Notamacropus eugenii: one gene and its partner. The protein of the gene in region 2 purifies or fractionates together with the protein of the main gene of each other region. This does not show direct contact. Links are inferred from orthologs where the notes say so. Each region holds a gene or a part of one and is shown on either strand. Other genes may lie near its edges.

Region 1 (7,891 bases), on a different chromosome or scaffold from region 2:
CTGTAGATACCCAGGTTATGACCTTCAGATGATCAAATAGTGGGGAGACTCTTAGGCAAGCCCACACAACACATGGCCAGTGGGCCATTTGCAGCCCACCAAAGGACTTCAGGCAGCACACAAAAAATGTGGGGTCGCCACTGCACATTCTCCTGCTTGTCACCTGTCCTGTGGCAATCAGCCATCACGTCTGTCCCTAGTCTTACTTACCTGCCTGCTGCCTGAAGAAGGTTAGCCTATTTAATTTTGGCCTCCACCTACTGCCAAGTTGTGCAGGTCTGCTCTCGGAAAGGGAAAGCTTTCTTTTCCACGTATAAAAGTCTATTGAGTAACATCATTGAAATGTATATATTTGACACATGTATATCAGCATTTCTGTAATATGATTCAGTGGAAAGTCCTGTGGAGTCAGGAGACCTGGATCCTAGTTCAGTTCTGTCGTTGACTACTTTCATGACTTTGGGCAAGCTACTTCATAGAATTGAGATGGAAGAGACATCTAGTCCAATCTGAATCTGAATAAAAATCCCCTCTGCAACATCCCTGACAAACGGCCATACACCTTCCATTTGAAGATTTCCAGTAATAGCAACACACTACTTATAAAGGTAGCTCATTTAACTTCTTTATCAAGCCAAAATCTGCCTCTACTCATTACACCCAGTTCTGTCCTCTGGGGCCAAGTAGAATATGTCTAATTCCCAATCCAATGACAGTCTTTCAGGTAAGAACAATAATAATATTATTAATTTAACTACTTTAGTAAATTTCATCTTGCTATACTAGACCACAATTCTACCTTACCAAGATCTTTTTGCATTATAATTTTGTCATTCAACATATGAGCTATAACTTCTTGGCTGTATTTGACTTCTTCATCTTCATCCAAGTAATTGGTAAAAATGCTGAACAAAACAGGGCCTAATACAGATCCCTGAAGCACTTCCCTTAGGACTTCCTTTAAGGCTGACACTGAATAATTAACAAGTACTCAACGATCCATCAATCCATCATTCAACCATTTCTCCGTCCACCTAACTACTTAGTCTTCTCAAGGATTCTATCAGAAACTTTACTTCTATGGTCTTCAGTTGTCTGAAAGATAACAATGAAGGTGTTGGGAAATACAATGTATTTGATCAAAATTAGCCTTTCTATTTTATTACTGCACATCTGGCTCTTTGATTTCTTGTTGTTCATCCTTCTAGAAAAGGAACAATGACATCAGAGGGGTGACATCTTAACTTCCTCACCAACTGAATTTAAGTGAGGCAGAGCTGTGCCAAGTCATTAGCATCACTCTCTCCAATCTAATGCTACCAGTCAGGACTACCGGTGATGGTCCCCTTTCACTTCTTAGTGGTTCATGGTTACTCTGGCAGTAGTGGTTAAACCTCTAGACTTGGAGTCAGGAAGACCTGGGCTTGCATCCTCATCCCAAATATTTATTTACTACCTGTGTGACTCTAACAAAGTTATTTAACCTTTCCAGGAGTCAGCAGTCTCATCTGTACAATGAGCATCATCACAGCATCTTCCTTGTTGTGAGGACCACACAGGGAAAATGCACTTAAAATCTTAAAACTCACGATAAATGAGTAACTCCTGTTACTAACAAATACTTATTGAGGGCTTACCCTGCTGAGTCTCAGAATCACAGAATCCTATAGCCCGAAGAAAACTTAGAGACCATCTAGTCCGACTTCATTTTACAAATGAAGAAAATGTGGCCCAAAGAGAAGGCATCATTTCATCAAGGAGACACAGCCACTGAAGAGCTGTTGGCAGAACTTGAACTCAAGTCCAGGCCTTTTAACTTTAAATCCACCACTTTTCCCTTTAAACAAGACTTCTATTCATTGCAAAGTACTCTGTAACAGTGGTATAAAAATCAAGTTGAAGTGGAGTCCATTAAATCATACGTAAGGATCCATGTGGGCCACATGTTGACTTCGTTTTAAAATGTCACATTATCTACGTTTTACGTTATATTTTGTTAAATATTTCCCAACTGCATTTTAGTCTGGTCCAGGCCCCAGCTGTGGGCCATATGTTTGACCTCTCTGCGGTGGAAAACCAACAGAAAACCTCTGGTCCTTATCCTGAATAACATAGGCACACACACAAACGTGAACCAGTATTTTGTAAGTCCTAGGGAAGAGCTACAAACAAAGCGATATGGGCACCGGGGTTGGGGAAAGGTCGCCTCTAGCTTGGAGAACAGAGAAAGGAAAAAGGCTCCCTAGGAGAGGATGCCTGACAAGGTCCAGGGGAGAGCAATTCCGGGGAATAAGTCTCGCGTGGAAGAAGCCAAGACAGCCCGGTGTTCTTGGGCTGAGGGAGTGCGGGGCAGGGGCAGTGGGAGCTGGAGCTGGGGCTGACTGGGCCGGGGGGGCTGGAGCTGGGGCTGACTGGGCCGGAGCTGGGGCTGACTGGGCCGGGGGGGCTGGAGCTGGGGCTGACTGGGCCGGAGCTGGGGCTGACTGGGCCGGGGGGGCTGGAGCTGGGGCTGACTGGGCCGGGGGGGCTAGAGGGCTGGAGCTGGGGCTGACTGGGCCGGGGGGGCTGGAGCTGGGGCTGACTGGGCCGGGGGGGCTGGAGCTGGGGCTGACTGGGCCACAGCTGGGGCTGACTGGGCTGGAGCTGGGGCTGACTGGGCCGGGGGGGCTGGAGCTGGGGCTGACTGGGCCGGGGCGGCTGGAGCTGGGGCTGACTGGGCCGGAGCTGGGGCTGACTGGGCCGGCGGGGCTGGAGCTGGGGCTGACTGGGCCGGGGGGGGGCTGGAGCTGGGGCTGACTGGGCCGGAGCTAGGGCTGACTGGGCCGGAGCTGGGGCTGACTGGGCCGGGGGGCCCTGAATGCCCTGCTGGGGCCAATAAGGGCTCACAGGAGCCCCAGGAGCAGAGCTGTGACACTGCTCTAACCTGTTCTAAAGCTCTCCTTTGCTCCAGACTACCTAGTCTTCTTACAAGGCTGCTGCATGACTCTTCCCTTCTCTTACTTGTGGATAAACACGACCTGTCCCAGCACCGCGGGCCCTGCCCGCACCCTGGTCTCCCGCATCGTTACCGGGGGCGGCCCGGGGCCATCGGCCTCCCCCCGAGCCCTGGGAGGATCTGGCCGCTGAACTGACCGTTTTACCGTCTAACCCGGTGGCTTTACCATTTTAGGTTGCCGGTGGTTTGAGGGGGGCAGCCAACCAGAGCCAGCCACACAAACCACCCCGGGAACAAACAATAGAACTGGCACCTCCGGAAAGTTCGGAGAAGAGGAGCTCGCGGGGATCTCGGTTCGGAGCATGGCCGCCTCGGAGTTCCCACCTAGGCCCCCGGGGCGGGCCCTCAGCCCTCCCTGATCTCGCGGCTCCCCAAACCAGCACCAGGGCCCATCTGCTGCGTCACCAGCAGCGACTTCAAGGAAAATGAGAAGGAGAAAAGGAGGGAAGGAAAAGGAGAAAAAGAAGGCAAGTTCCGGGAGGGCGCGGCCTGCGGTGGGCGGGGGCCCGCCGCGGAGACTTCCTCATCATCGTTACACAGCATTTTGTGCCCGCTTCCCGGGCCCTGGGGACTGGAGACCACGAGGACAAGAAGTCCGAGGGACTGCGTCCGCCCGGCCCACCCCCGCTGGGGCGGAGGCCGGCTTCAGGCCGGGCCAAGCAGCCCATCCCCGAGGCTCGGCTGCCTCCGCGCTCCCGGGCGTTTTCCCCAGGTGGCCCGGAGGCCCGCCTCCGTTTCCACGCCCTCGTAGGCAGCCCCGCCCGCGACCTAGAGCGCTAACCTGTCCTCCGACCGCCGCTCTCCGTCGCCTCCCCCGGAGCCCGGTCCCGGGGCTGCCCATGCCCATGTGCGCTCATTTGTGGTCGGGGGCTGGCCCAGAGCAGGGGGCTCTTCCGGCCCCAAGCCCTAGGACCTCGCTCACAGTCCGCCCTCCGCCTCGTCCCTTTCTCCCTCCCTCTGCCCTCCAGGGCTGGCCCAGGGGACACGTGGGCCGGCTGGAGCAGAGGGTGTTTTCCACGAAATGGCTTTTACTCATAGTGTAATTAAATTTCGGACGGCTCGATGGGTTCGTTTTGCAAACTCTAGTCAACTTTTCCTACTCCTCTCCAAGTGATCCTCGAGGGCAATGGGACGATTAGGAAATCAAATCCGAAAAGGGACGGCACCAGGCCGAGGGTGAAGCGCCAGGGCGGCCTGGGCCCGGGCCCGCGCCGTTGCCAGGGCGGGGGGCGGGGAAAGAGAAGCGATAGGGGCGGTGCTCTGCGGGGCCGGCGCTCTGCGGGGCCGGCCCCGGAGACGTGACGCGAGCGACGTGGCGCGAGCCCAGGGCGCCGAAGGAGGGAAGGGGGAGGGCGTTCCAGGAAGGGGAGCGCCCGGGCGAGCAAGGCCTCCTTCCTCCCTCCCCTCCAGCCCTCCTCTCCCTCCCCGGGCGGCCGTCGCCTGGGCTCTTCTCCGCCCACGGTATAAAGGGCCCTTGAGGCGGAGCCTCCGCTACTTTCTTGCATTTCCCGCAGAAAGAAGCATCGCCCAAGAAGCCTCCGTCTTCCAAGTCACCCGGACCTAGCAAGTTCAAGTCACCCGCACCCAAGTTTCTCGGACTCTTCAGAGCAGGCAACTCCAAAGCCAAGTCCCCGTCTCCCGCCCGGGCCTCCCTGACCAGCGCGTCGGCGCGGTCTCCGCCTCCGCCTCGGCCTCCGCCCCCGGCGCCGCCCAAGCATCTTCCTCCTCCCTCGCCTCCTGCGCAGCCCGCTCCCCCTAAGCCACCCTCGCCTCCGGAGCCTGTCGAGAAACCTGCTCCACCCGAGCCGCCCGCTCCACCCGAGCCGCCCGCGCCGCCCGAGCCGCCCGCGCCGCCCGAGCCGCCCGCTCCACCCGAGCCGCCCGAGCCGCCCGCGCCTCCGGAGCCTGCTCAGCCGCCGGCTCCGCCAGCGCCTCCCGAGAAGCCCGCTCCGCCCGAGCCGCCAGTGCCTCCCGAGCCACCCGAGCCTCCCGAGCCGCCCGAGAAGCCCACTCTCCCCGAGCCCTCTGCGCCTCCAGAGCCGCCAGCGCCTCCCGAGCCATCCCCTCCTCCCGAGCCGTCCGCACCACCAGAGCAGCCCGCTCTTCCCGAGCTCCCTGCGCCTCCCGAGCAGCCCGAGCCGCCCGAGCCGTCGGAGAAGATGGTGAAGCAGATCGAGAGCAAGGTAAGAAGTCGCGGTGCCCCCGAGCTGGGAAGGCGGGAGCGGAGGAGAGCCCCGATCCCCATCCCCAGCCCCGCCTAGGGCCATGTGTGCCCTAGTCCGGCGCCCTGGGGAGCTGCAGGCCCGGGGCTTAGCCCGGAGATTGGCACTTCGTGGGTGTTTGTTGCTTGGCTTTGGTCCTTGCCCTCCCCCTGGCCTCCAGTCCTCGGAGCCCGCCCGGGGGTGGTCATTTCCCTGCGGCCCGGGCTGCGGCCCTGCTGCCGTGACGGAACGTCTGGGCGGGCCTTGGCGCCCCCGAGGGCGGCGTTCCTGCCTTGGGGGCATTTTGGCCACCCCCTCCCCTCCCCCCGGGTTCCTGCCGCTTTGCGCTGCTGTGGTTGTCCCTGGCCCGGGGTCTGCGATGAAGAACTGCCCTGGTTCCCCTGATGGGGGTGACCCCAGGGCAGGAGCCAGCCGTGCCCGGGGCCGTCGGGACGTCCGGCTGGCTGCGCCCTGAGGCCGGTGCGCAGAAGGGGGAGGCCATGACTCGGCTGGCAGGGGCACCTGACGGCTGGGCGCTTCCTTGCCTTGCCCTGTAGGGTTTCAGGATATTCAGGGCAGCGATTCCCTTGCCCTCTGTTGGCAGTATTCGTTTCCTGACACCCATCACAGTGTGAGATTTGTTTCCTTTCTGTTAATTTAATTCAGTTCCATAGACGTGTTAATGAAAAAGATTTTTGGACGTTTTGGGAGAATATGCAGACAACTTTGAGATCATCAATGACGCTGGGTCAGATATCCCCAAAATGGAGCCTCTTGCTTCAATACAGGGGTAGTCACTGAGGAAAGGCAGGAGAGAAGACAGTTCGATTCAACAAGTATTCAAGGGTTTCTTATGAACCAAGTGGGAAACAACATAAAGCTTTTTGCTCCAAAAGCTTGCAGTTCAATAGGGGTAATAAAATATGATAAGAATGTGATACTAGCTTAGGAGTGAAATAGGACACCAGAGAAAATGCCGTGTAAGATTTGAATAGGAGAGATCACTTCCAGCTAGGGAAGGAAGGGGGGTCAGAGGAGGTTTGTGGAAGAGGTGGCTTCAGAGATGGGCCTTAGAGGAACCGAGAAGATTCAGACAAGCAGACAGACAGTGGAGGGAGTGCATTCCAGGCCTGGAGGGTGCAGGAGGAAATAGGAGCAGATAGAGAATAGTTAGTAAGAGTTTCTCTTAAATACAAGGATTGAAGGAGAATACAGTGATAAAAGGCTAGAAATATGGGATACAACAAAATTAGAGAGCTTTGTTTAAAAAAATGCCAAGTGTTTATCATATTCTCTGGACGGTGGAGAGACAAAAGTCAACTTTTGTATGAATACCTCCTTCACTTTTGGAAAAGGTAACCTAAACCTGCCGTTCTCATCCTGAATGACTGTCATCCCCCTTTAAGAGATCCTTCTGATATACTGGAGTCGTTCCTCTTTTACAATATTTTGTGCAGTACTCCGGAAATTTATATCTGTCTATTGCTAAAGTGCAACCTGCATTTTTGGCTCATATCTAATGTTGTATCCATAGATGTTTAACCACAACACTTTTAAGTGTATTCCGCATTATTTAAAAAAAATTACATTAACATGTAAAGACAATTTTTCACTGTAATGTGCATTATTAACATCTCCTTCAAACCAGTCCCTCCCTTGCAGCACTTAATTGATTAAGGTGAAAATACGCTGAAATTTTTTTTTAAAAATTAGCTCTCTTGAGCCTGTATGAGCTGGTTCTAGCACAGACAAACAGCCAACACATACCTGGTCATGATGTTCTGTTGTATGCCATTTGATGGCAGGACATCAGTTATAATGTTCTATGGCCTAATTGCACTTAACTCACATCTCTACTGCTCTTAGATCACCTGTAATTTTTATTCTGAGATTATGTTTTTCACTTAGTCATAGCCACATATACCAAGAGAATGATGTTTTTTTAACAAGCCAGTTATGACCTTTGAGAGACCTCTGCAATTGTTCAGGCACGATCCAGCCTGTTTTCTTCTTATGTAATTCTAGGTCCAGTTCATTGTCTTTAGCACTTGCCAAGTATAGACACACACACACACACACACACACACACACACACACACACACACTTTTTTTTCCTGTGCTAATGCTTAGTCAGATCTTATGCATAATAAGGGCTTTCACTAATGAGCCCTAGTAGTATTTTGGAAGGGACATTCATTAAGCACCTACTGTATACCCGTTGGGGCAGCTATATGATGCAGTAGATACAGTGCTAGACCTGGAGTCAGGAAATTCCTCAGATTTGGTCTCAGACACTTGCTAGCTATGTGACCCTTAGCAAATCATTTAATCTTGATTGCCTCAGTTACAGCATCTGTAAAATGAGCTGGAGAAGGAAATAGCAAACTACTCCAGTATTTTTTTTAAAAAGTAAATTATTTTCCCCTCAATTATATATAAAGACAATTTTTAATATTGATTTTTAAAAAACAACTGAGTTCCAAATTTTCTCCCTCACTTCCCTTCCCCCCCAAGAAAAGCAATTTGATATAGGTTATACATGGTCAATCATGCAAAACATATTACCAAATCAATCATGTTGTCATAGACCCAAAGGGAAAAAAAATGACCAAAAAAATACTGTATGTGAAAAATAGTACGCTTTGATCTGCATTCAGACCCCATCAGTTCTCTCTGGAGGTAGATAGCATTTTCC
Region 2 (7,514 bases):
GGTCACAGAGAAGCTCAAGCTCATGCAGAGGAAGGTAACCAAGAAAGGCCATGCTACTTGAGGATTATGCTATTAAGTAAGGATCAGTTGAAGGAGCTGTTTAGCTTGGAGAAAAGATGACTGGGGTGGGAGAAGAATTGTCTTCAAGTATTTATTAGAGAGGCTGCCATGTGAAAAGCTGGGTCAGACTTATTTACAAAGAGGCAGACTCCTTTTTGATGTAAAGAAAAGTTTCCTATCAGAGGTATGTCCAAATGTGAGATGAACTGCCTTGGAAAGTTCTCTTTCACTAGAGGGCTTAAAGGTTGGATGGCCATTTATGGGGTATGTTTTAGAGGGGAGTCTTCTTAGGTATGAGTTAAATTATATGGTGTTGGAGATCAATTCCACCTCTGAGATTCTATGAATTATATAAATCTACGAAGAAGGAGCAAATAGTCAAGAAACCAGAAGTAGTAATACAGCAGCCCATCTCTGAACAAGTTACTAATGAAGGCAAAATAAAACTAGCCAATTCCTTTCAGCACTAACATCACTAAATGCTTTCAAATCTAAGTAAGTGAAGATAATAGCATAAGCAATAAGTATGTATTAAGAAGGCATTTTCCCATGAAATGTTCAATTCCACAGACCAAAGCAATGATGTTTTAAGTTGGAGGTCAAAGTTACGAAAGGGCAAAAAGGTTATACATTCCGTCTAAGAATGTTGTGTAACTTGCCTATGGATAGTACCATAATTTTGGCGTGCAGACAACAGAGATGTCTGGAAACCAGGATATCTGTCAAAAAACAATCCTTTTTTATTGCCGCACCTGAAGTCAGGGTTAAGTGACTTGCCCTCGGTCACAGTCACACAGTTAATAAACATGAGTGTCAGAGACCAAATTTGAACTCCTGTCCTCCTGACTCCAAGCTAGTGTTCTATCCACTGTACCACCTAACTGCCCTAAAAAACAATGTTTTTAAAGTTCCTGACAACAGAGGTGTTAAGATTCGAAGTGTAAGATCACTCAAGATACTAAAACTTCATTCAAGAAGCACTCTTGAGTCAATGGCTCCAGGAAAATGGTGCAAAAACTTAGGCAAACATTTTCATGTCACTATTGATATTAGCAAGAACTGAAGAAGACCTCTAAAAGAAAGATTAATTGTATCTCCTAAAAACTGGTAACTTACTACCAGAAGAGGTCACAGGGTACACAAGAGGTCATGGGGTGTATGTGTGTGTGTAAGTAAAATTCATGAAATGTTCTGATAAATTCATGGATGGCATATGCATGATGGACTAGTAAGGCAGGAATTTAGGGGTGTTTGATTATAGCATTCTGAGTTGGAAGGGACTTTTAATAGATTTAATATAAATCTTTTATTTTCCAAAAGATTAAACTGAGGCCCAGAATGATTTACCTAAGGTTACACAGCTAGTATCAGTAGCAGAACCAGGAGTAGAACCTAGGTCTTTAAAATCTCAGGCTACTGCTTCTGATAGGACACCACTGTTAACTTTTTGAGGTCAACTTCATGAAGGGCAAATATCCTACTTTCCCAGCATCAGAGAAGAATATTAGGCTGAACAGACCATTGAACCACATTATTTACTTTCTAATACTGAGAAGGCACCTTATGCATTGGTTAAAAAACAACTCTAAAATTGGCATTAAAGATAACCACAAAGTCACACCAGACCCTATTTTTCAATTCACTTTTGGCCTGCCCTCCCAGCTCTTGTGGTATTTATTTCATGATTTATATTTACAGTTGTTTCAATGATACTTGACACAGACAGGACTTTTGAATTGTGAAAGTGTTTTCACATCTATGTTCTCGACTTTAAGATAGGTAAAGTAGATGATATGTCTGTTACAGATGAAGAAACTGAGGAAAAGACTATTATTAAATGGCTTAAGTCACATCTATAATAAATGGCAGAGTTCCAGGGTTTTTTCCATTAGACTTCCAAACTTTCACAGTCCAATATTTCTGAAATTCCCTTCCTGTTACCTAGTTGAAATTTTATTCCTTCTCTTCGGGAATCAGGTAAAATGCCACCTCCTTCCATTTAGTATTCTCAGCTCCCACCCGATCAGAAAACATTCCTCTCTCTTTTAAAGTCTCAGTACTTTTTTTGCGCCACTTTTTTTTTGTCCTGGAGCTTCCTGCTTTCTGCCCTCTATTATCCATTCTCTGGGGTCGAGTCTTACTGATCTCCCCTACTTGACAGACTCTCCAAGGGCTAGAGCTAGAACTTTTTTCTGATTCATCTTCCAGTCTCCCCCCGGGGCCTAGCTGGTTTAAGTAGTACTTAGCACACGTGGGTCCCCAGAAGCCCGCTTGGAGCCCCGGGAAGGAAAGGCATAGGGTTGGGAGGGGGTGTTAGCCAGAAGGCCACCCCGGACTGCAGGGGCTGGGCTGCAGGGATTCTAGCCAGCAGCCTGTCAGCTAGGGGGATGGGGGTGGAAGGTGATGCCTCTGAAGGTCAGGCCGGCGAGTCCTGCCTCAAGAGTTTGGAGCGCTCCCAAAAAAGGCGCGAGTGAGCGTGCGGAAGGGGTTTGCCTGCGGGGGGGGGGGGGGGGGGAAGGGGGGGAGAGACGCGGGCCGTGCAGGGGGTTCCCTGGGATCACGGTCAGGGTCCGACGGGTGGGGGGAGAGGAGGGGTAGAGAACTGCAACGGGAGCGTCAGGGAACTAACTTACCTGGAAGCCGGCTCCTCTGCTTCGGGCCACGGACGCTGAAAGTCCGTACCAAAGGCGCCAACCCAGCCACGGCGGTGCTTCCACATCGTAACATGACTACGACAACGACAACGACGACGGGAAGTCCCGGACCAACTGCGACTGCGGCCGACCCGCCGCCTCCCCTTTTCGGCTTTCTCACCCAGCTACTGACCCGTTAACCACAGTCCGCCTCCAAGTGCCACTCTATTCCATCCCAGCCCACCTCGCAGGCGGGGTCTCCCTAGAGACGCATTCTCATTGGACCGATGGAACCGCCTGCGCAGACGCTGCCCTCCAATTGGCCACTGGATAGTGAAAGGGAATGAGAGCTGCGTTGTTCCTAGTGCTGTGCAACCATTGGCTGAGGAAGCGGAGCCACCTCGCGCATGTGCACGTTTCAGTACTCTGGCCCGGGGCGGTAATGTTCTAGGGTGGCGTTCTCAGGGCATAGTTCGGTACCTATTTCTTTAGTTTGGGACTACCAGTTCCTCCTTCTTAGTACGGCTGTTCACTCCAGTTCAGTTGCCCGGTTCAGTTGCAGCGGCGGTGGCGGGACTTGACAGATCCGGGGGCCCGCCTGGTTCCGCCAGTGGACACCCAGGCTCTATGGTAACAACTCTGACTGGCTTCTTCACAGGTCAGAGCCCTCCTGGGCTCCCGAGGCCTTTGGTGACCTTGGCATGTTGGACCTCTGGCCCTCCGGCCTTTTCCCTCTTCCAGAACTTAGGGTTTTCCTTTAATGAAGGTGTCATCCTGCTGTGCCTGTTACTGGCTCTATTACTACCTTGTGCAAGTCCCTTGCCTTCTCTGAACCTCAGTTTCCCTCTAGGTCAAATGAGGTTGGCCGCTATGATTACTTCAAGGTCCCTGACTCTATGATCCTATGCTCCCACCCTCTCCTGGCATTGGGGCCGCCAATGGAGTTGAGAGCACCAGCACATCGATAAGTTGACTTCCCTTGGCTGTATTTTCAGAACTGTAGAATGAGAGGGACTGAGCGGAAATTAATATTTCAGGCACTTGAAATATAAGCAAAATTGGGAAACTGGTCTTTGGAGCTCCACAGAAAATAAAGAAAATTACAAATATTACAAGTAAGTTTCACTATTTAAACATTTTAGGAATGGACTTCATGTCTCCACAATTAGATTTTTAACATCCTAAGGACATGGACCATGCATTTTATCTTTGTATTCTTTACTTCAGTCTAAAGTTGGAAAGATCCTTAGACACCATCTAGTCCAGGGGTGGGGAATCTGTGGCCTCAAGGCCACAGCTGGCCTTCCAGGTCTTCAACTGCAGCCCTTTGGCTGAATCCAAACTTCACAGAACAAATCCCCTTAGTAAAAGGCTTTGTTTTGTAAAACTTGGACTCACTCAAACGGTTGTACCCAAGTACTAGATTCTAGTCCAACTCTTATATTTTATAGAGTAGGACACAGGCCCACGGATGATGGCCAAGGTGACATAGGTACTAAAACATTAAAGACTGAATTTGAAGTAGGTTCTCTGACTATAGAGCCAGTATCAAAGTAAATCACGCTACAATGCCTTCTGGTCCCTCGTACATAGTAGGTATGTGCTTAGTTTCTTGAATGGATAATGCTAGAATATCTTTCAACAAAATTATGGATTCTATCTTTTGGTCAGGTAGCTTTCTTTCCTCTGCTCCATAGTCACAGACTTTATCTGTGAAGGTTTATCCTACCAGACAGGTTGTATCCATGGGGTTAGTTCATAGGCAATGTACCCTAACCCTAGAGACTGCTATACAAAGTATTCTGCACTGACTTCTATATATTTGTGACATGTACTTTTTTACTGAGAATAATCACCTTGACACTGTGAGACCCAAGGGATCACAGATGATTGGTATACCTCTGTGTTATTGGAGAGTAGACACTGCTTATTTTTACATGATATGGATTTGAGAAATGTTGGGGTTTTTTCCCAACCCATGCAAATTAACTAGATGAGTGGTTTTCAGAATGTGGTCCACCAACCCCTGGTGGTCCCCTAAACCCTTTCAGATGGTCCTTGAGATCAAAACCATTTTCATAATAAATACTAAAATCTTGTGTGTGTGTGTTCATCCTTCGTTGTGGAAGAAGACCATGCCATCAGAAAAATAATGACATGACTTGCTCTTGACTTTGTTTTAAGTGAGGGAGGGCTGTGCACGTCACCAGCCTCCCTTCTCCTCACTTCAGAGCCATCTAAATTCAGTGACCAGATATTCATCAGGATGACTAGAGATGACCCAGGATGAGGCAATTGGGATTAAGTGACTTGCCCAAGGTCACATAGCTAGTGAGTGTCAAGTGTCTGAGGTGAGATTTGAACTCAGATCCTCCTGACTCCTACACTGGTGCTCTATCCACTGCACCACCTAGCTGCCCCTACTAAAATGTTATTTGCCTATTAAAATACCATTCCTTTTTTCTTTTTTTTTTTTTTATAATTTTTTTATTTTTTTAATGTTTAACAATCACTGCCATACAATTGCGATTTTATCCCTCCCCACCCACCCCCCACTAACTCCCTCCCTCCCCACGACTGCATACAATTCTGTATAGATTCTACATATACTTTCCTATTGAGTATATTTTCACTATAGTCATGCTATGTAGTCAGACTAAGATAAATGAGAGAATCCGTATAACAAATCAGAACATGATACACAGACAGATACACATACACAAACATGATCTGCTACATTATGTGAGTGACTTCCATATTTCTCTCTCTGAGTGTGGAAGGCATTTTGCCTTGAGGTCCACCATTGGGATTTTTTTTTTTTTCAGGAGTTCTTGTGTTATTACAAAAATCTAAGTCTACCAGAAAAAACTCTCACACACTGTGGTTGTTGCTGTGCATAAAGTTCTCCTGGTTCTGCTCCTTTCACTCAGCATCAGGTCATATAAGTCCTTCCAGGCCTCTCTGAAGTCTTCTTGTTCATCATTTCTTATGGCACAATAGTACTCCATTACATTCATATACCATAATTTATTCAGCCATTCCCCAATTGATGGACATCCCCTTGACTTCCAGTTTTTGGCAACTACATAGAGTGCTGCTATACATATTTTTGTACATGTGGGACCCTTTCCCATTTTTATGATCTCTTGGGGATACAGTCCTAGTAGCGATATTGCTGGGTCAAAGGGTATGCACATTTTTGTAGCCCTTTGGGCATAGTTCCAAATTGCTCTCCAGAATGGTTGGATGCGCTCGCAGCTCCACCAACAATGAATTAGTGTTCCAACTCTCCCACATCCTCTCCAGCATTTATCATTTTCTTGTTCTGTCATGTTTGCCAATCTTATAGGTGTGATGTGGTACCTCAGAGTTGTTTTGATTTGCATCTCTCTAACCAATAGTGATTTAGAGCATTTTTTCATATGATTATAGATAGCTTTAATTTCTTCCTCTGAAAATTGCCTGTTCATATCCTTTGACCATTTATCAATTGGGGAATGACTTGTATGATTATACATTTGGGTCAGTTCTCTATATATTCTAGAAATGAGGCCTTTATCCCCGAGCTTAGCTGTAAAAATTTTTTCCCAATTTACTACATCCCTCCGGATTTTGGTTGCATTGGGTTTGGTTGTGCAAAAACTTCTCAGTTTAATGTACTCAAAGTTATCCATTTTGCATTTCATAATGCATTCTATCTCTCCTTTAGTAAAGAATTCTTCCCTTCTCCATAGATCTGATAAATACACTATTCCTTGCTTCTCCAGTTTATTCATGGTATCAATCTTTATACCTAAATCATGTACCCATTTGGACTTTATTCTTGTGTACGGTGTCAGGTATGGGTCTATGCCTAATTTCCGCCACACTGTTATCCAGTTTTCCCAGCAATTTTTGTCAAACAATGAGTTCTTATCCCAGAAGCTGGGGTCCTTGGGTTTATCAAACAGAAGGTTGCTATATTCCTTGCCTACTGCATCTTCAGTGCCAAGTCTATTCCACTTGTCTACCTCTCTGTTTCTTAGCCAATACCAAGTGGTTTTGATAATTGCTGCTTTATAGTACAGTTTAAGGTCTGGTAGTGCTAGGCCACCTTCCCAAGCATTTCTTTTCATTAGTCCCTTTGATATTCTGGACCTTTTGTTTTTCCAAATGAATTTTGATATTATTTTATCCAGCTCTAGAAAGTAATTGTCTGATAGTTTAATTGGTATGGCACTAAATAAGTATATTAATTTGGGTAGAATTGTCATTTTTATTATATTAGCACGGCCTACCCATGAGCAACTAATCTTTTTCCACTTACTTAAATCTGACTTTATTTGTGCAAAAAGTGTCTTGTAATTGTGTTCATATAGTCCCTGGGTTTGTTTTGGCAGGTAGACTCCTAAGTATTTTATACTGTCTACCCTAACTTTAAATGGGATTTCTCTTTCTATCTCTTGCTGTTGAACTTTGTTGCTAATATATAGGAATGCAGAGGATTTGTGTGGGTTTATTTTGTACCCTGCAACTTTGCCAAAGTTGTTTATTAATTCAAGTAATTTTTTACTTGAATCTCTGGGATTCTCTAGGTAAATCATCATATCATCTGCAAAGAGTGATAACTTAGTTTCTTCTTTGGCTATTCTAATTCCTTGAATATCTTTATCTTGTCTAATTGCTACAGCTAACATTTCTAGTACCATATTGAATAATAGTGGTGATAATGGACAACCTTGTTTCACCCCTGATCTTATTGGGAATGCATCTAGCTTATCCCCATTGCATATAATGCTTGCTGAAGGTTTTAGATAGATACTGCTTATTATTTTATGGAAA

What was found.
Region 1: the proteins of AIFM1 (region 2) and TXN purify together in Homo sapiens (affinity purification with mass spectrometry; 3 studies listed by BioGRID and IntAct, with this or other methods). This does not show direct contact. The link is inferred for Notamacropus eugenii from reciprocal best matches to the Homo sapiens genes AIFM1 and TXN.

What each region holds. Positions count from the first base shown.
Region 1 is NC_092872.1:98,089,352-98,097,242, forward strand, and holds the start of TXN (thioredoxin), read left to right. Parts: upstream 1-4,882; 5' UTR 4,883-5,154; coding exon 5,155-5,178; intron 5,179-7,891. Other genes in the region: uncharacterized protein, read right to left, coding at 2,163-2,796, 3,001-3,062. UniProt on the Homo sapiens protein: Participates in various redox reactions through the reversible oxidation of its active center dithiol to a disulfide and catalyzes dithiol-disulfide exchange reactions.
Region 2 is NC_092879.1:51,898,693-51,906,206, forward strand, and holds the start of AIFM1 (apoptosis-inducing factor 1, mitochondrial), read right to left. Parts: upstream 3,001-7,514; 5' UTR 2,788-3,000; coding exon 2,694-2,787; intron 1-2,693. UniProt on the Homo sapiens protein: Functions both as NADH oxidoreductase and as regulator of apoptosis.